Daphnia pulex: one gene and its partners. The protein of the gene in region 2 interacts with the protein of the main gene of each other region in a pairwise test. Links are inferred from orthologs where the notes say so. Each region holds a gene or a part of one and is shown on either strand. Other genes may lie near its edges.

The links.
Region 1: the proteins of armadillo segment polarity protein-like (region 2) and axin-like interact in a two-hybrid assay, tested with the Drosophila melanogaster proteins (2 studies listed by BioGRID). The link is inferred for Daphnia pulex from reciprocal best matches to the Drosophila melanogaster genes arm and Axn.
Region 3: the proteins of armadillo segment polarity protein-like (region 2) and catenin alpha-like interact in binary tests that used the Drosophila melanogaster proteins (3 or more experiments, as listed by UniProt). The link is inferred for Daphnia pulex from reciprocal best matches to the Drosophila melanogaster genes arm and alpha-Cat.

What each region holds. Positions count from the first base shown.
Region 1 is NC_060025.1:2,835,787-2,846,978, forward strand, and holds the start of axin-like, read left to right. Parts: upstream 1-4,477; 5' UTR 4,478-4,628; intron 4,629-5,803; exon of another isoform or gene 5,804-6,025; intron 6,026-6,063; exon of another isoform or gene 6,064-6,286; intron 6,287-6,483; 5' UTR 6,484-6,717; intron 6,718-7,190; 5' UTR 7,191-7,253; coding exon 7,254-7,317; intron 7,318-7,388; coding exon 7,389-7,720; intron 7,721-7,780; coding exon 7,781-8,053; intron 8,054-8,121; coding exon 8,122-8,408; intron 8,409-8,605; coding exon 8,606-8,746; intron 8,747-8,874; coding exon 8,875-9,028; intron 9,029-9,112; coding exon 9,113-9,223; intron 9,224-9,300; coding exon 9,301-9,445; intron 9,446-9,513; coding exon 9,514-9,728; intron 9,729-9,792; coding exon 9,793-10,136; intron 10,137-10,201; coding exon 10,202-10,372; intron 10,373-10,437; coding exon 10,438-10,511; intron 10,512-10,575; coding exon 10,576-10,723; intron 10,724-10,786; coding exon 10,787-10,913; 3' UTR 10,914-11,192. Other genes in the region: uncharacterized protein MCAP_0864-like, read left to right, coding at 1-1,112.
Region 2 is NC_060020.1:4,722,842-4,727,036, forward strand, and holds the start of armadillo segment polarity protein-like, read right to left. Parts: upstream 2,801-4,195; 5' UTR 2,644-2,800; intron 2,457-2,643; 5' UTR 2,419-2,456; coding exon 2,385-2,418; intron 2,319-2,384; coding exon 2,179-2,318; intron 2,117-2,178; coding exon 1,996-2,116; intron 1,932-1,995; coding exon 1,744-1,931; intron 1,684-1,743; coding exon 1,525-1,683; intron 1,440-1,524; coding exon 1,285-1,439; intron 1,199-1,284; coding exon 897-1,198; intron 837-896; coding exon 688-836; intron 604-687; coding exon 394-603; intron 331-393; coding exon 198-330; intron 137-197; coding exon 15-136; intron 1-14. Other genes in the region: cysteine desulfurase, mitochondrial-like, read right to left, coding at 3,874-3,937, 4,050-4,195. UniProt on the Drosophila melanogaster protein: Isoform neural may associate with CadN and participate in the transmission of developmental information. Can associate with alpha-catenin.
Region 3 is NC_060018.1:3,368,903-3,380,158, forward strand, and holds catenin alpha-like, read right to left. Parts: upstream 9,795-11,256; 5' UTR 9,489-9,794; intron 9,292-9,488; exon of another isoform or gene 9,264-9,291; coding exon of another isoform or gene 9,120-9,263; intron 8,959-9,119; 5' UTR 8,934-8,958; coding exon 8,787-8,933; intron 8,611-8,786; coding exon 8,196-8,610; intron 8,139-8,195; coding exon 7,915-8,138; intron 7,849-7,914; coding exon 7,636-7,848; intron 7,568-7,635; coding exon 7,262-7,567; intron 7,188-7,261; coding exon 5,706-7,187; 3' UTR 5,675-5,705; downstream 1-5,674. Other genes in the region: equilibrative nucleoside transporter 1-like, read right to left, coding at 624-953, 1,032-1,153, 1,218-1,398, 1,486-1,632, 1,708-1,793, 1,863-2,008, 2,405-2,544, 2,619-2,700 and 2 more; malonyl-CoA decarboxylase, mitochondrial-like, read right to left, coding at 10,152-10,284, 10,345-10,412, 10,479-10,516, 10,581-10,944, 11,005-11,256. UniProt on the Drosophila melanogaster protein: Associates with the cytoplasmic domain of a variety of cadherins. The association of catenins to cadherins produces a complex which is linked to the actin filament network, and which seems to be of primary importance for cadherins cell-adhesion properties.

The DNA of each region.
Region 1 (11,192 bases), on a different chromosome or scaffold from region 2:
CAAATCAAGTTATCCAACTGAAACTTGAACTTTCCACGTTGAGCTCAGAACATGACGAGGTACGTGACGAGCTAATTTCTACCAGGTGTGAACTGTATGCCAAAAATCGAGACATCACCAACTTCGAGAAAACCATCTCGCACCTGAAGAACAACCAATCAGCACTGAATGTCGACGACGTTGATGATTTTAATCCTGCCAACACCAAGTCCGCACTAGCACAGAACAACGTGATACTAGTCCCGGAACAGGAGGATAAGTCGACTCAAACCGTGGATGTGCAACTTCCTACGACGGTCGTTGATAACAGGATTGAGGAACTTGAAGATCAGTACAAAAAGATATGCGCTCATAATACATCTATGCAACGAAAGATGAGAGGGTTCCACGCTGCCCGTAATATTCTTCAAAGCGCAAACGAAAAGCTTGTCCTCCAACTAGACAGCAAAGCAAAAGAACTTGAGGAAGAAAAAGCCTTGTCAAAGAAGAAAATCCAGGAGTTAGAAAGCGACCACCAGGAAAGCGTCGGAAAAATTCGACAATACTACCAAACTTTGCTTAACAACAGAAACTGCAAAAACAATGAACTTGAAGAAATTATCTCAGAGTTGTACTCTATAATTGATGAATGCGAAGAAAACCACCGCACTGAGATGGAAGAAATGGATACGAGGTATTCAAAAGTAATCGATGAACAAAACGAACACTTGATGCAGCTGGAGTCTAGGGTTGCCGAGTTGACACAGAAAAACTGCGAATTGAACGACACTGTGGACGAACTAGAGCTCAGCTCTTACGCGCTACCAGATTACTACAAGATTCTGAACGTGAAAAGGACAGACACCGACGAAAAAATCATGAAGTCCTACAAAGAGAAAATTCTACAAGCCCATCCGGACAAGGTCAATCAGATACAAACAGATGATGTTGAAAAAGCGTTGATGAAGGCAAACCGACTAAGCCAGGCACTTAATCGTGCAAAGGACTTATTAATAGAACCGAGACTTCGGTACCAATACGACAGCTGGTTAGACATGACGGAGATCAAGAAAACAGAGAAGAAAATGTGGGATTATAAAGCGTTTGAAGAACGGAAACGTTACAGGAATTAAAGCCGCCCTTATGTTTAATCTTCGATTTTCTTTGGATGAGTTGCAGTTGATTTGGTTTTTGTTTTTTTGTGTTTTTTTACCGAAGTTAAGTAATGTTAGAAGCTGAATGTCAGTCTTGCGATTGATATTTGTTGATTTGTGATGACGCTCCCTCCTCGTAACAATCCGGAAGGGAATGGTGGGTGAACCTGTCAATGGAGTTGGTGTGTCGCTGTTGTGCGTGGGGACTTCTGAATATACTTTGAACTGCACAAGATGATTTGTCATTGGGAAGTACGAAAGTGCTTACACAATACAACTCCTCTAACAGTCAGAGAAGTAGGTTGTCCTCACCCTACATGTCAGTGTAACATTTGACTACCTTGACAGGGGGTTTAATTACCCTTAAATGAGTCCACCAATTCTTTACGGTAAGTTACGATGGAGACAGCCGAGCAAGTTGACCATTATCGATTGTAGGGCTGGTTCAGTTTCTTTCATTATTAGCTTCGGTTTTTTAATTTTTTTTTCATTCGTTCTTTTTCTCAATAAATCGGGTTCTGTCCCATATATAATCTCAATCGTGTTGTTTGACCTTTTCTTATTCCTCATCATTTATGGTAGTATGTACTTAAATTCGATGGTATGTGCTATTCATAATTTTCTGGGGGGTTTAATATTACCCTTTTTAAATGAGTCTATCACACTTCTTGACCTGTTCTTGACGTGCGTTTACGGTGGAGATGGCTGGCTGTGCAGCTTGGCAGCAGAAGTTGTCAGTTACTTCTCTTGTTTCCTCATCAAGCTTCTGGACACGGGGATTGTACAACTATACAAACACCGCCCATTACCAGTTTGACTGAAGAAGGCTATAGATTTTAAAAAAAGGATATTTCAACGATTTCAATCTGCCATTTTTGATTACATCCTCACTTAAGTTCCTCCCTTGATTTTAAAATTTTTGGTAAACAGTGGCAGATTTAAGGTGTTGCCATATTTTTAAAAATTAACCTGAGAGTCCCAAAGTTAATTTATCACGATATTTCTCTTATGCATAATGACTTGGTCGTGAACGCGGTCTGACCGATGACTTAAGAGACGCGCCATCTAATGTCGCCCACCCTTCCAAAACTAAAGCTGACGGTTAACATTCACACTAGGTACAATGGTACATTTGTGTTTACTTAAACAAAGGCTCCCTGACTTGCGCAAATCTTCTATCTTTGTTTTTATTTATTTTGAAAGAAATTTGAGTGGCGATCATCTTCCCTGTCTCATTGTCACATAAATTATATTTTTAATTTTTTTAAAATAAAATATTGTGAGGACAGCGCCATTTTATCGAATGGTGGAAGGGACAGTTTCGTCTAGGACATATGTAGAATCACTATCGGGAAATTGATTCACCAAAGAGGTGACGTCTTTTATTTGCGGAAAGAAATCCGGTCCAACGAACATTATATTATTTGTACAAGATTCCATTTCTGTATTTCAAAATCTTGAACCGTGATCTTAGCCGGGTTCTGATGCGTAAAACACGGTAAAAAGTTTTCATATGAGAAAAAGATAAAGAAAGGTTAAATTTCGTCACTTCACAAAGATATTATAGATATTCGGTTATACCGGTTCGATGTCAAATCGAAACATTGGTCAACAGCAGCTACTGCGAAACAAATGTTCTTTCACCTTTAGCATACTATATACACACGTTTATCTAATGTCACGAAATAGATTTGTCTACCTGTCTTGCTCAAAACGGTCGGTAACATCATACGGGTCTGTCTCACTAACAAAGTAATCACTATAGTATACCTCAATCGGAACAAATACATAACGATGAATGAATTGAGCAAGCTCATAATTATCGCCTTGAAACACTTTGCGTGATTCCACCCCCTTTGTGTGTAATACGATTTCCCGCAAAGAAAATCATATAATCTATTCAAACTGATAATGAGATTTGGCTGCACCTGCGTGCACCCATCAGGAGAAAGCCCGAAAACTCATTGCTCAAAATTCATTCATAATATACTACTCATCCGCAATAGTTATTGATCCGGAACTGGTCAATAATTCAAAGGTCTTGCGCGGGGGACAAATAGCAAAGTCCGTATTATTTCGCAACATATGTTTTCCGATCAATGTGTGTCGATTCAGCCGATCTAAGCGTTTTTTTTTTATTTATTATAATTTTTCCATATCGTGTGACGTAAGCAAAGGTTTTCAAAACCGAGTCCAAAGTTGGACCGCTAGACGTCCTCCTAGTTATCCTTGTGTACGTACTTCATGGCCAAAGGCTTTAGTGAAGATTTCAAAGTGTCGATGATTTATTATAAAAGGCGGCAGATATCGTAAAAGTGTTTCACTCTTGAACCCACACGAAGCTACAGGCGATTAAAAGATTTGGAATCTGTTTGAAAAAAGAAAGGGATAAACAAAAAAATTGTTTTTCAAAAGGGAAAAATCTTCATTTCAATGTGACTTGGCAGTTTTACGGGGCAGGATTTGATGACTTGATGTACACATCTACCGTTATATTACGGTGTTTGAAGAAGAAGTAAATAATACTATATCCTCTCTCGTCATTTAAACCATTCGAAACTTAATCTGGAGAGAGTGTCAATCAAAATGAAATCAATTCTCTCTTGAGCTCTTAAGATTGCGTAGATTTATTCTTGTGTGTGACTCATATATCAAGACATGGACGACATTTATAGGCCGGAATTAAACGCGAATCAATCCATCTTTTATCGCCAGTAATCTCGATGACTCAAATTCTTTATTTTTTCCCTAATGAAAGTCGATGATAAAATCTGGCGTTGCTAGCGCATTAATGAACATAAAAGACCCCCTCTTTTTCTTATAAAATAATAAATTCCAAATAATAATAATAATAATAATAATAATACTCGTTGTTTGTATACAACGGATGCACTATATATCCATGGCGCATCAGTATTAATGACTAGCGCCGCCAAGATGTCGCGTTCTTTTCTTTCATTTAAGATTTTCTTATCTTGGAGTAGCGCGGCTCTTTTTCTCTTTCCTCTTTACCCCAAAAGTTAAAAAAGAAACCGCCGCGCTCGCGCGCCAGTGTGTAATCTGATTTCCCCGTGTCTGTATGTGTGTGTGTGTATGTGTGTAGGAGAGATAATTCCCAATGAAGCTGCTGCTGCACAGTTAGACTGCCCAGGGTCCGCTGAGTGATCATCATCATCGTGCGAGACAAATGAGTGCGACCAATAGACCAAACCGCCGCCGCCGCCACTTTTTAAAATTTTGAGCGCAGATAAAAGCCTCAAAATGTGGCAAGACCTTTAACTCGCGGTATAAATATCAGATCCATCTTTATTTTTTTTCCTACCCGAATGACACAGATATCTGGTGGGGGTATAAGAAAGGAGTTGGTCGGCGAGGTGTTTAGACGTGTCCGCGGTGAAGTGCAATTGTTGTTGTTGTTGTTCATCCATCATCTTTTGGTCCAACGGTGGAACTAATTTGCCGACTTCAGCAGCAGCAGCTTCGATTTGATTCCAGGTAGGTAGATATATTTTGAGAACATCCATCTTTTATTATAATATACTATATAAGATGCAATTGAGTCGGATGCAAATTGATCCGGGACATCCATCAACTTGGCTGTCGGCGGAAGTGGCCTCCTCCTCCTCCTTTTGGGCGGCCGCCGCCGTTTGATAATTTCGCCGCGCGGCAGCAGACAACAATTCCCACCATCCTATCCTAATAATAATAAGAAAAAGAGCTGATCTATATTTACGATGCTGCGGCATTTTGTTGGCTTGAATCCATCTGCTGCTGGTCGCGTAATCGACCAAGAGTCACTTTACCTTGACACGTCGTCGGCAATGGAATTTCGTTTTTTTTTCCCCGGACAACACATTCTCTCCAGCATTTTGAAGAAAGAGATAGATGACATCAACATCTCGAACCCCGCAAGCCAGCATGCTGCTGGTTAAAAGCCTTTTTTTTTATTTTTCTATTTTTTAACTTGAAATATACTCAAAAAAGAGCCGCGGGTCAATAGAAGAAAGGCCGCCGCCGCCGCCACCGCCGCCTTCCTTTTTTTAACACATAGTCTTGATTATCGCGCGGCTTGTTTTTTCTTCTTGGCCCGACGTGAAGACCTTGAGTGTGTGGTGGCTACCGCCGAAGAAGAATACCCTCTCTAGTCCTATGAAAATGTATGTAACCACCATTAAGGGCAATCATCAGAGTAGGTACAAGACCGACATGATGTCTTGATGGCACACAACGAATCCAGGTGAGGGCAAAACGCCAGGAGGCGTAGATCGACCTGGCTGGATTGATCTAGCTTTTAACTTTGACGTGATATTATATATACAACTCAATCGCTTTTTAGAAAATATATATATAAATACAGCAGAGGCGACATTTCCACAGAAGGAAGGAATTTGAGTTACATGAACCCGCTCCAAGGCTTCCCCCCTTTTCTTCTTTTTTGGGTGTTATTTGTTCGGTACACTTTGATGCCCTTTCATGGAAGCATTATGCAGGCAACACTCGAGATGTATGCATAAGATTATTGCCAATGTAAAAAAAAGTAAAGATCATTAGGCGATTTTTGTGAAAGAATGTCGGCACCTGCAAAGTCATGGCGAAAAGCTGAAGAAAAAGAAAGAAAGAATAAAGGAACTTGTGAGGAAGAAGAATGTCTTGGCGAATCGATTTCTAGCCAACTATCGATATATAGACATCGGGTGTACGTTTCTCGATACGATATAGGGGGAATGGGAACTGAGTTGTTTGGAGTTGAGCAGAAGCCGTCCGTCTTTTTTTCGAGTTTCATTTATTTCATTTTTTTGTGTTTTCTGTTTCTTTCCCTGAGTTGTGGCCCGTTGTTGACACGACGGCCGAAATTAATCTGAAAAAATTCGAGTGAAAATTCGATGGAAAAGGTAAATTAAGAGGAGAAACAGAAATCTGACAGAGTGATGCCCCTAGGTTATGCCCCTACTGCATACACATCTGAAAAAGTGACAATGGGCAAGCGATGGGTTTACCTAGACTCGCGTGCCCAGTGATTATTTGCAATCTAGGCAACTCCATTTACCACTCAGACTTATTGAATGTGATGGAAAATGAAATGCAAGTCTTGACTACGGGGAGGCATCACTCTTTTGTCAGGATTGTGAGCAGAGTCTGTATTGATCGACCTGGTGAGAGCTTTTGTAGTGAGTGGGGAGAACTCGGAGAGCAATTTCACTCTTCTCTCCCTTCTCATTTGTAATCCAGGGGCTCTCATCCAGTTTTTTCCAGCTGTCAAATATTGTGAACATTTGAGTAGTGGAAAACACAATAGCTTCTGCTTATGGTTAACAAACTGGTCGATAACTCTTGTACTCTTGTATTACAGGATTTCATCCAGAACCCGTGACAACAATTGGACCACTCATGTGAAGATATCGGGCCTCATTAAGGACTGAAGAGATCGACCCAATAGTTGCAACCCCCACAGACCGTCCAATTATGTTGATGCAGTAGTGATTCGTCGCAGTGTGCCTTATTCATAGCGTGCCTCATAGAAGAAACCAACTCCTCCTTCGCTTCACCCCTCTTATTTCACCAGTCTGGAACTAGATGCTGCCTGGTAAGCAACCTCCGTTTTTTCCATCTCTATTGTAGTCCATTTTTTCCTATTGTTATCTTGCACTCACCAAAAAATGAAAAATCTCCCTACTCATTGTTACGTTGTCAGATTATATTTCGCGCTCCAACGATTCCAATCAATGCTTACCCACCAAAAACTTGCAGTTATTTCTTTTTTTGCTTTCTGATGGTGAGGAGGGGGGCTAGAAGAGGAGGGGGGGGCTGGTGGGCGGAAGAGTGGGTCTTCCAAAGCCGGATATGGGATCTGGGAACGAATTTCTCTGGATGGATTCTCTACACACAGTTGCTGTGGCAGCAGAGTTTAGTTTATTTTGTGAAATTGCCAACTTCGGTTCAGTAGAAGAGTCCAATGTTGATGTTTTTGCTCTAACCAGTGACATCAAGTTGTGATTCGAGTTTCTGGCCATGTTAAAATGTGTGCTAACCATTTCGTTGCATCTCTTTCGTGTCCAGGTGATGCTGCTCCTGTTTTATTTATCGTCCGTTGACTACAACGAACTTGTACAGTGTTAAGTGATGAATGGAGGTGGATCTGTGATTCGTTTTTCGGAATCTGCTCCTCGACCCCCTGTCTTCCCAGGTATGATCCAACTGGTCGCCTTTGTGTGTGCTTATTACATTCATTCTAATGTTGTTGCGTTTTTAATTCAGGTGAAGAAAATGTGCCGTCAAGTCAGGTGAAGATGGATCCATGGGCTTCACGGTTCGGAAGGCGGGGCCCGTCGCATCCTTCGACGCTGTCGCCCTCCAAAGGTTCATCACCCGTCCTGACGCCTCGCAGACATGGCCAGTCGATGGACGAGAACGACTTGGCTCGCCGCTACGAACCGGCTGAAGGATCGGCCTCCACGTCTCCACCCTTGGTCGAAACGCCGCCCTATTTGCGATGGGCTGAAAATCTTCATTTCCTCCTGACCGATCCCGACGGCGTCGAACTCTTTGAAAAATATCTCGAACAGGAAAATTGTTCTCATTTACTCAAAGTATGTCCCCATCAACTGCAATTTCTTTTTCGTATTTTTCACTCATTTTTTGTTTTGCAGTTTTGGTTTGCCTGCGAAGGCCTCAAACGAAACTGGGCAGAAGATCCCGAAAAAGCTGTCCAAATCATCCAAGTCATTTACAAAAAGTACATCCGGCTCAAAAGGGTCAATGTGTCGGAACTGAATCGGCGTGAGATTAACGACCGAGTGGCCAACAAAGCTACCCTTGACGCGCATATCTTTGACGAAGCGCAAAAGGATGTCGAAGATCTTATCCGCAGCTCAGTTTACGTCAACTTCCTAAATTCGGACGTCTATTTATCTTACATTCAAGTAAAGAGTCGATCACTTTCATCGCTTTGACATCTATCTCATTTTACGTCCTCTTATAAATTATCTAGTCTATGCAAAATGGCATCCCGGATTCGCCTCGAAGCGGCCGGAGTCAAGGAGGAGGTTCAGACATCACCGCCAAATCTTCCGTCGCCCCTGATCTCGCCGGAACGGGCGCTTCAGATGATCGAGGACCTCACCTAGGGCCATTGCCTACTTTGCACGAAGATTCTGAATTCTCTTATCCTGCCGTCGAGCTCAACAAGCCAATCCCACTGACGCATGACGCTCTCATGGCCACCAAGAATGTCCGGATGAACGTCGAATCCCGACCAGTAGGCGGCCTCTACCCAAGGTGAGTCATCGTTATAGAATGTCTTTGAAAAATTGCATGATCAATTTCTTTCTTTCTCATTTTTTATTTTTTTTTCAAACTTTTGCCTGAATTTTTATTTAATTGGAATGCCGTTATGATTCTTATTTCAATTCACTTATTATTTCGTTTTTTTTTTTCGGTTTCCGTTTTTTTCTTTACGTTTATTTACGGGGTAGTAGTCGAGTGCCCCACAACCCATATCACTCCGTGCACACAACCAGCTATTACGCGCCGTACAATCCCGTTTCACGCCAGGATTCCGAGATATCCTCTGATGCTCATACGGACGACACTCGCTCACTGACCGATGGTTCTGTGTAAGAATTTCGAATGAATGTTTCTTTATTTTTAGTTATATTTTTTAAATGTTTTAGAGCCTGCAAACAATTTTATTTCAGTAATTATTCGTTCAACATTAACTTGTAACAAACGTGTCGTTTTATAGCGATGGTTCTGTCCTGTTTTACCCGGCCAAGCCTAACCGGCACCAACTGCGCAAAGCTCGGCAAAAGATTTCAAACGACTGTATGAGAAATCGTGATCCGTCTATAAACCAGCCATTCATCCCGCGAACTCAGCGTCTTCCACCCAAAGAACAGGTTATACACCTCGACATTCATCACGACTGAATCAGGTTTTTTTTTTTAAATAAAAAGGGAATGTTTTTTCTTGTTTGGTCGCAGCAGGTGATGCCCAAGACGCCGCAAGAATTCGCCGCTGAGCTCATCCAAAAGTTGGAAGCCGTTAAACGAGATCGGGAATCTGAAGAAAAGTTGCTCCGGATTGTCGCTGAGGTTGGTGGCATTTTCCCACGTTTTCTCTTTAAACAGCCAAAGTGCATTTTAAGCAAAAACTATTTGTTTTCATACAGAGGGATAGTGAAGCCAGTGGATTGGATGAGCCATGCCCGCAAGGCGCCCGCTTCAAACCCGGATCTGAATGCTCAGCTCGTGTTTTGGCAGAAGCACTGTCCAAAATCGCTTCTTCAAATGAAGCCGACACACAATCGATTCTCGGTAATGTGCACGATTTGATCTGTTGTGAAGTTCTATCTTAATCGAGTGGAATATTATTATTTTTACAGATAACCACGTCCAAAGAATCTGGGCAGATCAGACGCCATTGCGATCACCCGGTGCACCTTCACCTCGGCCGTGGTCTCCAGAGAACCGGCGTCGATTGCCACCGAATTCTGTGGCTATTCCAACGAAAACCAGTGGGCCACCAATAATGAGCTCTTCTGCATATGGACCCGGCTATTTCCAACGCTCCTCAGCCCATCATCGGCGAAAAGACAAGGTAAATGTCTATTCAATTCTAATTCTTCGTGAACTGGGACTTTACGGAATATTTTAATTTTCAGGATATCGAAAAGGGTTCGACCTACTCAGCAGACTCGGGTGCGATTCTCGATCAAGGTGACAGCGGAAGAGAAAATCGAGCTCACTTTTCCAAGTCGCAATCAATTCCTGATACGCGCCGGATTGGTATGACGTCCTCTCTTGGGGGAGCTAGCAGTGCCATCGGCAGCAAGAAATCAGAATACGATCGTGTCCATGACAGTGGTCTTTGCCTCCATACGGACCCTAATCCTGGAACACTAATGGCACCGCCTTCACAGCCACCCAAGGAAAAAGTGCTCCACTGGATCAGCACCAATGACAAATGGCAAGAAGCTGATAGAGATCCGTCTTCCAGCAAGCACAGGTAATTGTTTAATCAACTCAGGCCTAATCGGGTGGATCTCTAACAATTTCTTTTTTGATGGTTAGGTCGCGTCCACCGAGTTCGACTTCACCCATTTCTTCCAGAAGGAGTCGGCAACACAAGTCCGCTTACGGGACTTCGAGGTCGGAATCGCTGGAACGAGCTGGAGCTTCCGCCGGTCATTTAACGCAAAGTGAAGACGATATGGCTAGAAATCGTCCTCCAACCAAGCCAAAGTAAGTTTAATAAAACGAAAACTAAATTCACTTATTTGATTCATTTATTGATCCAATCATTCTAGACCTAGCGTATCACAGCCAACTTCCACTCACTCGACAACGATGAAGAAACCAGCAAGTAGTGGAGCTCTCTCAGGTAAACAAGGAACAATTCAGCAGCGTTGGTTGTTCGCCCCCACTCATTCCATTTTGATTCACAGGTGAAGGAAGCTCAGCCCCAACAGAATGCACTGTTGTGACGTTCACTTTTGGAGATGAGCCCGTGCCCTACCGCAGCCGGATACCTGGACGAACTGTCACGCTCAAGCAATTCAAAGAAATTTGTGTGCCCAAAAAAGGAAACTACAAGTAAGGAAGACTCTTAATTATTTTTCACAAAGCTTTGTACTCTAATCATCTTTTGTTAATTAGGTACTACTTTAAGACGAATTGCGAGGACGACGTAGCGATGGCAGTCAATCAGGAGGTTATTGACGACTCTGAGATTCTACCACTCTGGGAAGACAAAGTGCTGGGTATCGTCAAGCTTGTCGATTAGAATTGATGATGTTATGGAAAAGATATTGTCTTGAAAACTTTACAAAAAAAAACTCTTTAAAATGAACCTGAGTTTATGTTGCAGCTTAACATTACCCTCCTTCAAAATCTTCAGCCCTGTCTTTTATTTTGTATGATGTCAGTTCTATTTTTGTCATTGTCGTTTTTCATCGATTCACGCGTTGTTTTTTCTCTTAACTCCTGTCTTTTGATAGAAATCGAGTTTCTTTTATTTCTTTTCTCTTTTATTTTGAGAAGCGTGCAACAATCGTGTCGTAGT
Region 2 (4,195 bases):
TAAAACAAACGTACTCGTTGGATGTCTTGGAAAGCACGGATCAACAGCTGCACCAAACGAGTAATAACTCCTTGTTCTCGCAGCGGAGCGTGGTTAGCAGGGCATAAAGCCAGATTACGAACCAACCCGATCAGAGCTAAACAAAAATGGTAATTATGAGACATTTTAAAAGACAAACTTGCTATAATGATACATACCCTTGATGAGTGGCCAACGAGAGGGGGGTTGCAATAAACGGACAATGACGGGCAGTCCACCACTAAGACGAACAGCATTTTGAGCCATTTCAGCTTCAGCGTGACGTGATGTCATGTGACGCAGAGCACATATCTGTAATTAATGGATTTTGTAAGAACCAACACGTTTGTCATTTTAAAAAGATGGATATATTACGGCAGGTTCGGTGATTTCTTCACGATCGCCAGCATGAATAATGGTGCGAACCAGCGCTTCGATACCACCGACTTGACACACAACAGTCTTGTTGCGTTGGTTGTTGCAAGTCAAGTTAGAGAGAATTCCGGCAGCGCAAGTGATTACGTTAACATCACTAGAACCTAACAACTGAACAAGTCCTTGAAGCAGGGTTTCTAAACCTTCTTGCTGTAAGAGAAAAATAAAGGTATAAGCATTGTCCTTAAGATAGGAGCAGAACATAAAATAATTTTTCTTTTAGAAGATAATCACCTGCTTGGTCGCAGCATCGGAAAGATTGCGGCAGGTCCATAAACAGTTCTGAACTAGGCGATGACTTTGGTGGCCCAAGTGCATTGCCAACGCTTGCATACCTCCAGCTTCAACAATAGCTGGTTTGTTGCTAGAACAGACCGACAGCACTGGGAAAAAAATTTATAAATAAATCACGTACATTAAACATTACGGTTTTTATAAATTACCTTTCAAAACTCGTGAAGTGGTCCACAGCAGCTTTTCGTAAGTATATGACCGAAGAATTCGAACAAGTTCCATCGGCCCCTGTGAAGCTAAAATGATCAACTTGGATTCTTGATTGCCATACGCCAGAATTTGAAGACAATCAGTAACGATTGCCAAGAATTTGACATTGTTGCGCTGAAGGAGAGCAACCATCTTCTGTAAACCACCCGCCAAACGAACGGCCATTTTTGAGCCTTCTTGATGGAGCAGCAAGTTGTGCAGCGTCGTGATAGCATAAAAAAGAACGGATTCCACGGGCGAGCTTTTCGAGATGACAAAAAATAAAAATAAGTAACGTTTGAAGAAAGCCGTCAGTTCGGACACATGAAGGATGAGACGGGACAATACCTCAACAGCTTCACCAAAGCTGGAATTCCCCCAGATTTAAAAATAGCCAACAATCCTTGGCGGTGATGTGATAGGTTGTGCAGGGTACCAACGGCACCTTTGGTTGTTTCCAGGTCATTGCTATTGGACAGTGCTCGAACGAGAGCCGCAATCATCTACGATCAAACGGATATGCATTATGAACTTGGAAAATAATTTTAAAAGAAGTGTAACACAGAGTAATAATAAAATCATAGAAACTTTGGTTGCCTGTGGGCTATTCATGATAGCATGGCGGGACGCTTCCTTCTTGGACAACTGGTGAACCATCATGGCAGCATGAGATACGACAACTTGATCTTCATCGTTCAACAACTTGATCAGTTCGGGAATAGCTCTTGTAGCTAGATCAGCATCATCCTACCAACCCAAATATTATTACTTTAAGCAGTTCAAAATTTTGAATTTCAGCAATAATACCTGATAGTTGATCAAATTAACAACGGCATGTTTCAACATTTGCGACGGTTCGGCTAAACGCTGAACAGCAGTTGGCTGTGTGGTATCAAACTGAGTAGATGGAATTTCCATTCCTTCATCCAGTGTCTCTGGAAACATGGCAGCACGAATACGCTGGGAGCGAGTCTGGTTTAACTGAGCATTCATGTCTGTAACAAAGTATTTGATTAAAACATATACCGCAATAAGAATCAAAAATATTTTATTGTTTACCTTCAACTTGGTCTTGAGTATAACCAGCTGAATAGCCACTTGATCCACCCATGTTAAGCATGACTCCTCCTTCAGAAGTATCCATATCATCATCACCACCTCTTCCAGAGAGTGATGGGGCCTAAGAAGTAAACATTTAGTTCGAAAGGTTACCTTCACTCGCACAATTCACTCAATATTTACCTGAGTGGTTGCCCCACTTTGGATTCCTGAATCTCCTACATATCCAGGTTGCCCAACTCCTTGCCACATCAATGTATGTTCCTTAACGCTGGGCATAGGAAGATCAGCAGGGCTATTGCTAACATATTGCCCATGTGACACTATACATACAAATTAAAGAGTTATAATAGATTTAATGAAAAATTTTAATTTAAAAAAGCTCATACTTGGCCTCCCTTGTGCCTGCATCTGATAACTCATGATGCGGCTGTGTATCGACGACTTTGCGACGAGATAACCTTAAATAAAGAAACGAGGGTAAGAACCAGGGCTAACAAAGTGTCGCAACTATGATGAAGTAAACTGCGTGTTTGACTGTCACTTGAGATTTCGACACAGTAAAAAGCCATTCAAAAGTCGAGAAAATTGTTGTTTGCTTTCGAAAAACATTTTAAGTGTAATTTTAAACAATTTAAGGTCACATACCTTTGGAATTTCGATTTGGTGACAAGAGATTAACAGAGCCACACCTGCCACAATCAGAAAACAAGGACCTGCTTCGTTCTGAAGTACTGACGCGTCTAAAAAGCCCTTAAAGATGGCGGCCATCAGCTTGAAACGGAACTATTTTTTTGGCGTTTTCTGTTTTTCTATGGTAAACCAATAAAACCAAAAACATTTAAATATAGCTTGAAATTACGTATTTAATGTGTTTTATTCCAAAACAAAAAAAAATAATAAAACAAATATTTGTGGGAAAGTCCAATAATATTTTAGAATATTTTTTAAAATTTCTAGCGTAGGAATACATAGCTAGTTTCCCCTGCCCGTTTGTCCAGACGGAAAGAGTGGGAGGGGAATAAAAAAAAGTTTCAAGTTCGGAATGACTCACAAATACCATTGAACAAATGATAAAAAAAAGTGCATTGCTTCTCAAGCAGGTTTTTAACCTCTTCCTTTTTTAATTACCTAGATACAGCTATGTAATAAATAGGTTGGCATTTCAGGGGTAGGGAGCCGTGGATTGCTGTCGATTGGCTAAAGAATAAATCGCCGCAATATGAAATTTCGGTTTTTGTACTTTTTTCCCGATATGCAGCAATGAAAAAAACAAAAGTTCGCTTGCTCGCTTAAGATTACATTAACTTCTTCACCTTTTCCAAACTTTAAATGAAATTCATGTAATGACTTCAAGTATAATGTCAAGTAAAAGTGCCCCATAAATCACATACAAAGAGTGTGAAAGGAATCAAAAGTCTTCGTTACCATGCACACCTGCTTTTTTGTGTGCTAGGAACGACTTCAAACTTTTTTAACCCAAAGAGCTTCGACGGAAACTTAGTCGTTTGGCATTGTCAAAAATATCAACTCGTTTATTGAACAAAAAACGGACATATTAAGGCTGTCAAATTTCTCTGCAGGATGTGCCGTTTTTTTTTTTTTTTAATCTATTCTAGATCTAGTCCTTCGATACTTTATATTGACTTATTATTGCACCGCAATGGTACCGATAGCTAATAAATTTCCCGGCTCATTTTACTGTTAAAGAGTCCAAAGTAACTTGTAACTTTACGATACCATTTTCTGCAACAATCGTCTTAAAAGATATTAAAGGTTATTGGTCAACACTATTTTCAGTGTATATTTCCAAATCATTTTCTTTACAAGGCTGAATTTATACAGCAACATTTTCAGTTTTGTTTTTGAATGGAAAGATTAGTGCTGCGTCCATTTGATACTTTTCAAATCAATCCCTTCTTGGACCATTTCCCAAAGAGGACTAAAAGTGGAGAAAAAACATAATTAACATTTTTAGCAGAAATGAAGGAAGTTATTTGTCGGGGAATTCCAGACCCGGGTTACGGTTCGACTTCTTCGAATTCGGTATTTACCTCATTTCCCGAAGTTTGGTGACTTGATGAATACACTTTTGTGCGGTGTAATCAACCTCAGCTTCGGTGGTGAATCGCCCAATTCCAAATCGAATAGAAGAATGCGCCAAATCTTCTTCAGCGCCAATGGCCCGCAAAACATATGA
Region 3 (11,256 bases), on a different chromosome or scaffold from region 2:
TATAAGGACATAGAACATTTATAAAAAAAAAGTGGGTAAAAAAAAATACACACAAGTCCACTGCGTATGGTGACTGAAAGATACACAAAAAAAAATTTCATGATCGGGCGACTGTTATTATTAGCAGCTGGCACGAAACCCGTGGTCAAAATCACTAATTGATTTTGCACTTTTGAAGATCTAGTACGACTGCAGGAAGAAGCAGTGCAAACGTAAGGAGAAATGGGTGGGAGAAAAAAAAATTAAGAGTGCAGTGGCTTCACTTCCCTCGAATGCCGTGAACGCACCAGTTTACCTTGAGCCCGAAAAAGCAAACAATAAATTAGTTCAAGGAAACGAGAAAAATCAATCGTCACAGGAAAAATGCGAGTTAACTGGACTAGTTTGCACAGTAGTTCAAAAGATTGCACTGAACATTTTGACTGCGCATTCCCACTTGTCCCCACAACTCTTCCCAAAGAGAAATAAAGAGTCGTATGTAAGGGTAAACTAAAGAACGACTAAGAACATGAAACTGAACAAAAATTTAAAGCAACACTATGAGTAAGCTAATGAGCTACAGAAATCTTGAAGCTCTCGTGCCCATCCCTTATTTAAAAAAAAAAAAAAACAAATCCAATCGATTAGAAAGAAATCGATTCCACAAGGATCGGCATTATCAAACTGAAGTTGATTCCGCCAAAAATGCCAGTGATCAGACAAGCAGCTCCAAACATGCCAGCTGTAGCCGCGTATTCAGGTTCCACCGTTCGTGGGCAATACATCATGGCTAGTGAAGAGTAGTATCCGCTAGTTACACCCAAAAAGATGCCACCGACCCAGTAAGCCCAATCGTTGTCGATAAGAACGGGCAATGCTCGCGTGACGCCCAATGGTTGATAATTGCACAATAAGAAGAATGGGATGAACAAGACTCGCAACACGACTGGAATCCATAACCAGCGAGGTCCCGGCTACAATTATCAAAGAAGGATTATGTAAGACAAACTCTTGTGTGTCCCATTAATAGTTTTGCCAAATCGTTTACGTACCCAAGAGTAAAGTCCAGGCAACATATTCCCAACCATTGCAAAGAAATTAAAGCTGAGAAAACAGCATACGGCTACAAAATATTTTTGTGAAATAATGAAGTTCTCGTCAACCATCTTGACATCTGATAATATAAATTTTAAAATTACAGGAGGAAAACTTTGTTAAAATTTTATAAAAACACCAACCGGAGTAAACGGCGGGAAAGATGGAGAGTGTGACGAAAAAGACGAGGAAAACGTTTAGACATTGCGGAAAACATTTCTTGAAAATCATCCAATAAGGTGGACGGGCTTTAATACCACCTAAAGCGACGCTCTTTTCTTGTTCTTGTCGCTTAATGCGTTGTTCATTATAACGGTAGAATCTCTGTAGCAAACGGGGGAAAAATAAACAAAATCTTCGCATCAAATGCGTTCAAGGTTAACATATGTAGAATGAATAATAAATGCGTACGTTGAGTGGCAAGGCGAAGAAAGAGTCGAAACAGGCCAACAGAATGAAGAGGGCAGCGATGAAATAGTATATGGCCGAGGTACGCGCATTAGGGGCCAGAGCTAACGAAATGACGTTTATAACGGCCGTGAAAGTCCCACTGATATTCTAATATGGAGTGAAAGAATAGAAATTTCAAATTTGAATACGAATTTTTTACTTTACTTCTTAAAACGAACTTACCGAGCCAAGGACGACCGCTCCTGTATATTTGAAAGGAAGCTTGGCGCTCATTCCGTAAATGGTATTTTGATAGATTCCACCAGCCACTGTTGACGCCAAACTTTTTTTTAAATCCTTGACACCACATGACTTTTAATAAAAAAAAAAAAACTTACTGTTTAATATGACCACTGAACCCATCGTAGTCCAGAAAAATGCTCCTGGCCATTGAGATGATTCCAACATAGCCAAAACAACTGTTAAAACGAAAACAGCTACTTCAACGAGAATACCGCCAATAATACGGGTACTTAAACTTCCGCTGTAAAAAAATAAAAATATAATAAATAAAAGATGAAATTTATATTTTAAAAAATATATATAAATCAATAAATAAAATGTATTCTTAATCTGAATCTTAACCACTATTATAACTTTCGATCCAACCAGAAAACATTTGTTATTTACTGAAGGGGCGTACATGATTTATAAAGCGATTCATCTCTTGGACAAACTATTTGAAACTTGATCTTCTTTAAAAAAAAAAATTAACTTAGCAGCGAAAACACTGTACGAGATTCCTGTGATGGATGATTCGATTAACTATGAAAAGCCTTGACCTTGAAGTTATATCTCTTCACTTGTCTATCATCCACCAGTTGCACCAGCGAACAAAACAACTTTAAAAAGAAACGAGAAAATTAATAAGCTTTTATACCCTATCTGGATGAAGATGTTGAGCCAGTTGAAGATGACGTTGGGAACCTGGGAAGCGAAGCCAAGGAATTGAAGAAAGTTGGCAGCATAAGCAAGACTTTGCCCGGTATTCTCTGGTCCAAGTTTGTGAACGACAAAGTACTGTGTGGATTTTTAGAAATGAAGGTTAGTCAATGAAACCCTTCTTGCCAATATGAATTAATTGCAAAACTTACGTCCTTCGCAGTAATAAACATATTCCATGGCATTAATGTGCCAATTCCGTGGAGTATAAAAGTGAGATACACCAAATTCAATCTGAAATACAAACATAAATAGAAAAATAGAAAAATGATATTAATTTAATGGTTTTTCAATCGTCGGACCGTACTGCCCACGCCCTTGATCGTAATCCTACTGTGTTATAAGACACACTTGAAAAGGATATTTCCTTTTTCCTATCTTGACATTGTGAGACGTTGGGAATGAACTAACGTTGACTGGTGTCATCCTAGAGCATATCTTGACAGTTGCTGCGGTATACAATCACAGCTGAGCAATAAAGGGCGGAAATAATGGAAACGTGAATAAGCGGATGAATCTTTAAAAGAAGCAATTGTGAGAATTTAGGCGAATAAGTGTTCGGTTGTCTAATCGAAGCTAGTGCGTGTGGTCTCAACCGATTACCCTCAGGAAACGCTGTTAAGAATGTGCATCAGTAATTACCGATCGGGTGGTGGGTCCATGTCCAAAGCGGCTTTATCCAGATCAGATTCTAGTCCTCGCAAATTCAGCTCTGCAGCCGGTAGATTCCGGTCCTCCCAGCTGGGCGTCAACTTGACCGATTCAGGTCCGCTCTCCAGAAAAGGACGTTTTTCTGCTGCCATTGTATCTGCCATAAAATAATTCGTTTAATAAGGAAATAAGTTCGAGTGCGTCTATGATTGAGCAGTATCTATCAAACTGTAATACATTTATCATTGAAGGCGGCAGTCACCCAAGTATTCACACAAGTGGAAAACATCATTGACTGTTCCTTATAGTAATTTCAATTTTGTGTTTGTGTGTATACATCCACTCGAGTCAACAACTCTTTCACAAACAAACAAATCGAGAAAAGAAACATGAAAAAAAAAAACACCACGAAAGATTGAGTTGCCGAAACTGGGTGGCGGGGACAGTCCCTGTTTAGGCCCAGACAGTTTAAAAATACAGGACTATGCCTTATATACATCACATGACCGCCCATAGAGCTTCGTGTGGATATTCTGCCACCCCAGTCGAAATATTGGGGACTCGTCGTATCGAATAATCAAGATGCAGCAGATAATCTCCAAGTAAACTAAATTATGTCTTCAAAACTATTGCCTACAGGATATCCTTTCAAAGAGGGGGAACATGTTTAAAGATAATAGAAAGGAAAACAATATTTAGCACATTTACAGCTTCTTTTGAGCTGAATCGAAAGCTGTTCGGCGTTCTGTATCATGTGTATACATACACACGTACCAAATAGTAAGGCTGGAGGGGCAACCAAAGAAGGGTCTGTTACTTTTACGTCTTGTGGAAGTTGGGATAAAAACAATGGGAGAAAGGAGCACACCTTTGGGCAGAATTTTGTTTTTGTGAGACTCGACAATCTAAATGATTAAATGCTTGTAGCTCACCGTTATTGACAGCATCGTCGTTCACGTTAGTCTTTCCCATTTTGCTGGCTCAACTGTCGATTGCAAAGCAGACACTGTTAGTAGGTAGGAGCAGATCAAAGGTTCACAATTGGGTGTCAAGTCAAACAATCGATTGAACGTGTTATTCAAGTGATTCGAAAGTCACAGAAACCAGTACGAAATGAGATCTTTGCATGGAGTACTGTAAAACTGGCTTATTGCCCGGTCCATGCTTGGGTTGCAACTGAAAAGAAAGGGAGGCAGACATGCAGCGCTGTGGGTGAGGGACTCAAAGTGGGCGTGTACCTACAAATGCCGCCAGGCCTTTGAATGAGCGTGTGAACCGCCTAGCAGAGGACCTCTAGCGGAAGTTCAATAATCCCTTTCTGCCCCAGATAATGTTACTTCAATTTATTTGATTTACATGAGAGTAAAAATTCCTCTGCTGTTCCGCCCCACGCCTCGTGTTACAAAAGAAGCAATCTCACTCAACACACGCTTTAAGAAATAATTTTGAAAGTCTTAGTAGTCGATAGTTCAATTATTTTCAAAGGAACAATATATATTAAAAAAGAGATCGCATTGCTGCTAGATGACGGTCCATATCACTTTACCGAGTGTCGGAATGATAGCCAGTCAGCAAGTCCCGGGTGTTCAATATCTTGACGGTACAAAACAAAAATTGAAGAGCCAGCGATAAACATGATAGCGATGCATGAAATCGGCCAATCTAGGTTGCAATTGCGTTGAGAAATGACATGTTCGACCGTCAGACCAAAAAAGGTAAACTAAAAAAAAAACATCCGATTGAAACGGATAATTTTTTCTTTAAACCGTGTATGAAATTAGAACACCGATATCAAAACAACACATCGAATGAAAAAAAAAGTGGTTTTTAATCGTATTGATATGATGTCAGGATTGAGAAAAAGGAGATAATTATAAAGGAAACGCTCAAAAAATAATAAAAATTGTTTGAACGGTTACTTAAGGGAACTTATCGCATAAGGTTTGGTTTGTAAATTGTAATTTCGAAGGAATGGATATAATTAAGTCTCTCTGTAGTGGATTGAATGTCGGCCGCTTACAAAATGATGGGAAGGGATCTATTTTACTATTACTAATTTCGAAGCTGTCCAAATCAATTACTTCTTAAATCCGAAAAAAATAATACAGAAATTGTTCTCGTTAAGTCAAAATAAGGGGTGGAGACGCACAGGATTGTAAGAAATGAAATGCGCATTCCTTAATATGAATAGAAGAAAACGGCCGCACTAGCTTTGGCTTTTTTCATAAGCATTGAGCCATGATTTTGACATTTTAGAGATAGGACTTTCATCTAAAAGATTTGAAAGTCCTCCATTCCTATAACTAATTAGGAATGGAAGACGAAATGATAATATTATGATAGATTTTTAGCGCTTCGTCGTAAATGACACATTCGAAGAAAGACGATCGCTCATTCGAAGGGAAAATAAACATAGGCTGAAAATGGAAAGTCGTGGGTCAATGCTGATTCACCGAATTACAAAAAAATAAGCCACTGTACCAACTCGCTTCTGATAGATAGCCCCGTTACTCTAAAAAGAGAATTGGACGTTTGCTGGCGTTGTTTTTCTTCATAAATTCGACCACAAGCTTGCTGGTTTCTTTCTTTTAAACGCTTTCGGCAGGACTTTGGAATTCGCTTAGGACTTTAATAGGGGCGATGTGCTTCTTCTGAGACGCGCGACGAACTTTGGCCCTAACCTCTTCGGGCTTCTCGCGGCGAACTAGTGGCTTCTTTTCGGGTGCCTTCATCTTCCAAACGACGATAGGCGATACGACGGTTGTCTGGCGGCTGGTATACTTCGTAGAAGCCACGTAAGAGGCTTTCACCGTCAAGACGACGGCGTTCATGAGGTTTTTAGCTGCCTGGATGAGGGAAGTAGCACTGTCCAGACCCGAAACAATCAGCTCTCCACTAATGTTTTGTACATCAGCCTTAACCTTAGAGGTGATGTTCAACTGATGGCAGTAAAGAGCAATACGTTGCAAATATGCAAGCAAATCTTGCTTGGTCGATGATTCAGGGCATTGGTCGGCAATCAGACGGGCGAATTTATCTAATTTGGTTCCAGCTTCTGAAATTTTCTTGGCCGCGTTAATTACATCCATTGTAGTTTTAAGGGGTCCACGACCGCGAGTGAAATCCGTCATCTCCATCATAATCATGCACATATGTTTGGCTAGGACGATAATATCGTTTCCGGAGTCGTCCCATTTCGATACTTCTCGATCAAACTTCAACTTTTCTGTGCGGAAGTACTCGACTTGCTGGGCGATTTTAGCCTTGTCTTCTTCCTTCAGTTTACGCATAGCCTCACGTGCAGTGGTGATGCCACTGATATCTGGATATTCGTCCACCATGTAATCGAGCGTGTGGTTACTCGATTTGCTGCGGGTATCAATAGTGTACTGTTCATCCAATTCAACTTCTTCAGGATCAAGTTCTTCGTCGGCGCGGTTCATAAGAACGGCGCGACGGACTTCACGAACACCATCGTAAACCAAACGAGAGGCGTCAATGAATTCGTTTTCATCGACATCACGAGGTGGATTGTTCGACAAGGCGTCGACAGCCATTTCAACTTTTTGTGCGAAGTTAGGCATTACTTGATCGCGTAGAACTTTGACAGCTTCAAGAACACGCTCGGTATAAATGCCAGGTTCGTAATTATCCATTTCAGCGGTGACAACATTGGCCACACGGGAAGCTCTGCCACGAATGGCGCCTGCAGTTCTGTCCAGCGAATCAGGGTCGCCTTCCTGGAGGGCGAGGACGCATTTGTTGACGTCTTCAAGAATATGATTTTCAGAGACGGCCAAAAAGTCATCGATGGTTGTGATATCGTCAACGGCATCTGTCAGAATGCGAACTTGGTTCTCCCATGCATCGCGGAAAATGTCCATATTTTCTTGTGCAACGCGAGAGCGCGGACGAGCTGCCAGAATTCGTGCTGCATTGATAACTTGTGGGCAGAGAGCCTCTATCTGGGAGGCGGCATAGCGGACCATTTTGACACCATCTTCGTTGCCCGACATCGAACAAGCTAAATTAGCTACCTCAACCAATTTGTTGGCATGCTCGAGAAACACCTACGTTAAGCGAATAAAAAGTTGATTTGTGCAAATCCGGAACAAATGAACACCACAATTTTACGAAAACATACCTGTGAATATTCCTCTACTTCCTTCTCATTGCCCGATTTAGCTGCTTCGATCAACACCAAAAGTGGCACATTGGTCTCCAGGAACGAATCTGAGACATGGTCAACCACTGCCTTACGCAATTGACGGCGTAGATCACGAGTCTTACGACACATATGATCAAGGGCACGATCCAGTCCTTCGCTGCGATCCTTTTTGCCCATGTTAGACATGTATTCGCTCAGAAGGTCTTGAAGTGCTTGGCGAACTGCATTGCATTCGGCCACGATACGCTCACGACGATCGTCACGAGTACAGGAAGAGTCCGCCTGGATAGATTCGATAAAAGAATTTCGATTGAAGGTAGTGCACTTCAAAGACATTCAGCCTTCCATACCATTAGTGCAGCACCACTGATTATACTTTCAAGTCTTTCTTCCAGTGATGGGCGCGTACGGATTTCGCTGTATGCCAATGGGTCCATAATTATTCGTTCATCAAAATCGTCGAGAGCTGCAGCCAGTTCTCCAGGCCCATCATAGGGCATTTGAACGGCCGGGTTTCCGACAGTACTCTTTCCTTGTGCCACGTCGGAAATTGCGCTAACAGCCTTTGATAATAAAAAGAATCCTGAAAACCAATTTTTATGAGTAACCATCTAAAAAATTATATTTACCTGGCAAACTTGTTTTAAAACATAGTCCCTGTTAGCTTTAGCTGCTGCTAGTTCAGGGTGACGAACAAAAGCCTTTGAAGCCGTTAGCAGCATCATTGAATGCTTCTTGAGCACAGCTCGAGCAGCAGCCAAATCATCTCTCAAAGCTGGATCTTTAAGTTCTTGTTGACGACGAGCAGCTTGTGCCATCAATTCAGAAGCATTTCTGCCAAACATACGCATGCCTACAACAAAAGATTTTAATGCAATTCTTTTTCAAACGAGGATTTAGCCAAATATACCTTCTTCTAGTTCAGCTTGGCTTGAGGCTCCACGCAAACGCTCAAGATCGTCTTCAACTACTCGAAGGGATTTAAGTAGACGATGAACATCCACCATATCCGCAAGGATTAGAAGACGAGTCACAGCAGATAACAGGTTACGTGCTGCCCGAACCATGTTTCCGCGCTTTAGGGACGAACATGGGTCTTCGGCGAACTCGCGTGAGGCAACACTCATGGTCTCGCCTGTTTTTCGTACTTCGTCAACTGCAGCCAACATTTCTTGCTGGATGTCTGGATTTTCATAAGCAATCTGTTCACCGCGTTCGATAAAGTTGCCTGTTGCTTTCTCTACAGCCGCTACGAGAACATGAGCTCTTTTCGAACGGCCTTTCTTTTTCTTTGAAGAACCTTTTGTGTTTACTAGAGTCGTAACCTAGATAAGTAATGAAATAAATATATATATAAAATAGATTACAGGAATTTTATAAAAGGTACAAAGAGAAGCAAATCGTGCAAACACACAAATTAAATATAAGGAAGCAAAGAAGAATTTCAAATAGTTTCCTTCAATCAGTAACTGTTTTCCCTGAGGCAATGCAAACTCTTTACCTGGATAACCAATGGCTCCAATGTACGTTCCACCGATTTCGTCTTGATCTCCAAGTTTTTGGGATCCCATTTCAGAGTAATGGGAGCCAAGTCTTGGCTATTTGAATTATTTTGCATTGCAGAAACTTTTGAAGTATTCAACAGCATAGACTTTCTACTGGAACATAAGGAACTAAAGAAAAAATAAACAAAACAAAAACACAATTCAAACTATGCATGCAATTTATACAACAACTTAGTTATGAACACATCATGCCAAAGAAACAAAAAAGATGCAGCACGACCTAATGACTCTCCTCTACACATCCAGAGGCTTTTAAAGTGTAGTGCTACCTGAATCACTAATGGTTCCAATGTTCGTTCCACAGAAGTGGTACGAATTTCAAGATTTTTGGGATCCCATTTCATAGCTGTTGGCCCATGGGCCTGGTTGGGGATTCCCATGTAGTCCAAACCCGGAACTGGCATGACAGGCATCTCAAATCCAGATATATTGTATAATGTACTATACTTACACAAAGATTTAATTTTCAACACATAAAACCAAGATTAGATCTGTGGAATTTTGAATGATGAATGAATACTTGAAAATTGTTTTAAAATAGCATCTTCTGAAATACTTTATGAGTCATAGCATGGCATAACCACTCCTTACAAACTAATAAACATGTTATACATCTTTAGAAACTTTTGAGTGTTTACCTTTATCTTAGCTTTCAAAGGTGACTGAATGTTTTGAACCACAACCGAAGTACTTGTCAGACTGTAACAAGAAAACTACAGCGGCTTACAACTCCACTAATAATGGCTACGTATAACGGGCGGAAGCTGTGTCACGACAGTTTTTCCCGTGGGTCGAGAAATGATGTCAGTTCCGGTCTAACGAAAATTTCCGAAGCCACTCCCAACATAAGCGTTATCACTGCAAGGAAATAGTAAAGAAGGCGAGAGTATAAAACGGCATTCACAATATGCGGTCCCAGCCACCAGGTGGCAGCAAAAAGTCTGACTCCACCTGCTGGCGGCTGCATGTGTTAATAATTCAATCAGATAAACGTGTCCATCTGGCGACTGGCAAGTCTTTAAATAAAAATGAAAAAATGAAAAAATAAAAAAATAAAAAAAAATATTTAGAAATATGTAGTAATGAAAAAATGCAGGACAAGTTGAGGATATATTCAGACACGATAATAATAATATGTACATATTTGAGAATTGAGAGACTTTTAAAAAGTGGAAATATTGATTTCAAACAACTGCGAATTACCGAGAACATATAACAGACTCAATAATCGAACGTTTAAACAGCTTTTAGCTTTTGTAACAAAGCATTTTTATAAAGAAGTACATGATTGAATTCACAAATCACAAATGAGAAATTTGGCTAGCTGCTGACGAGTTGGAAACTCCCGAAAGGAGACGAATTTGCTCTGAAGACTCGATATGCTGTTTTTCAGCATACAGTTGACTATATTTTTCACAAGCATCCACATAATACCTAAATTAAAAAAGTTTAAGATAAAAATATTCTAAATCAGAAAAATTAAATCTATAATACCTATAGTTCATCATCAGCCCAAATGAATTTTTTATGCCTCTTGGTGAAAGGTCGGATGCCCAATTCAGCTGAAAACCAAGAAAAATTTCCATTAAGAATCCAGCAAATTAAAAATGACATTTAAAATAACTTACTCTCCACATCATCGCTCCATTCCGCAAATGAAAATTAGCTAGAAGAGAACAAACGATAACTTAATTGGTTAGCAAACATTGAAGGCAAAACTAAAGACTTACCAACACTGTCCAATGCGAAACCTCGCCTCTTCTCCACAAACAGATAATGAGCACAGAGACGCATTAAGGGATTTTCCATCAATTTAGCTTTCGCTTCTTCCCTCATCCATGAACTATCCACTAGCAAACTGCGGAGCATCCCGAGCGGATTTTCTTTGGTACTGTTAATTAACTGAAGAGCCGTACCCCAATTAAAATCAGTTAAAACTGTTTTTCGCCCACGTTCAGTTTCCCGAAGCTGCTGAAGCAGCCAAGACCGGAAGCCCGGTATAGGAGAAAGCGTTGAATGTTGCTGTAGAGATGGAATTTCCGTTTGTAACTCCCGAAGAGCTCTTTTTATCAAAGATTGACCTAAATCTATCCCCTAGAAAACAAAAAGTTAGCTACTGACAGAAGGGGATAAAAATAACCTCTAGCTGCTTACTGCGAGGCCTTTTTGAGTTGAGCTGATGCTGTAAAATATTGCTGTGTTTACACGATCTATATCTTCAACATCAATATCTGCCAACCTGGAACCATCTGTCTCGGAATCAAATGATTGGCTCAAATTCCGCGTAATAATTGTATGGATGTTGTTGGATATCTCGTTTGTCAATGCGACGTGCAAAATGGCCAATGGTTTCTTTGGTAAAGCAGGATGTAAAAGTATGAAACATCGCCGATAAGGGCCGAGGCG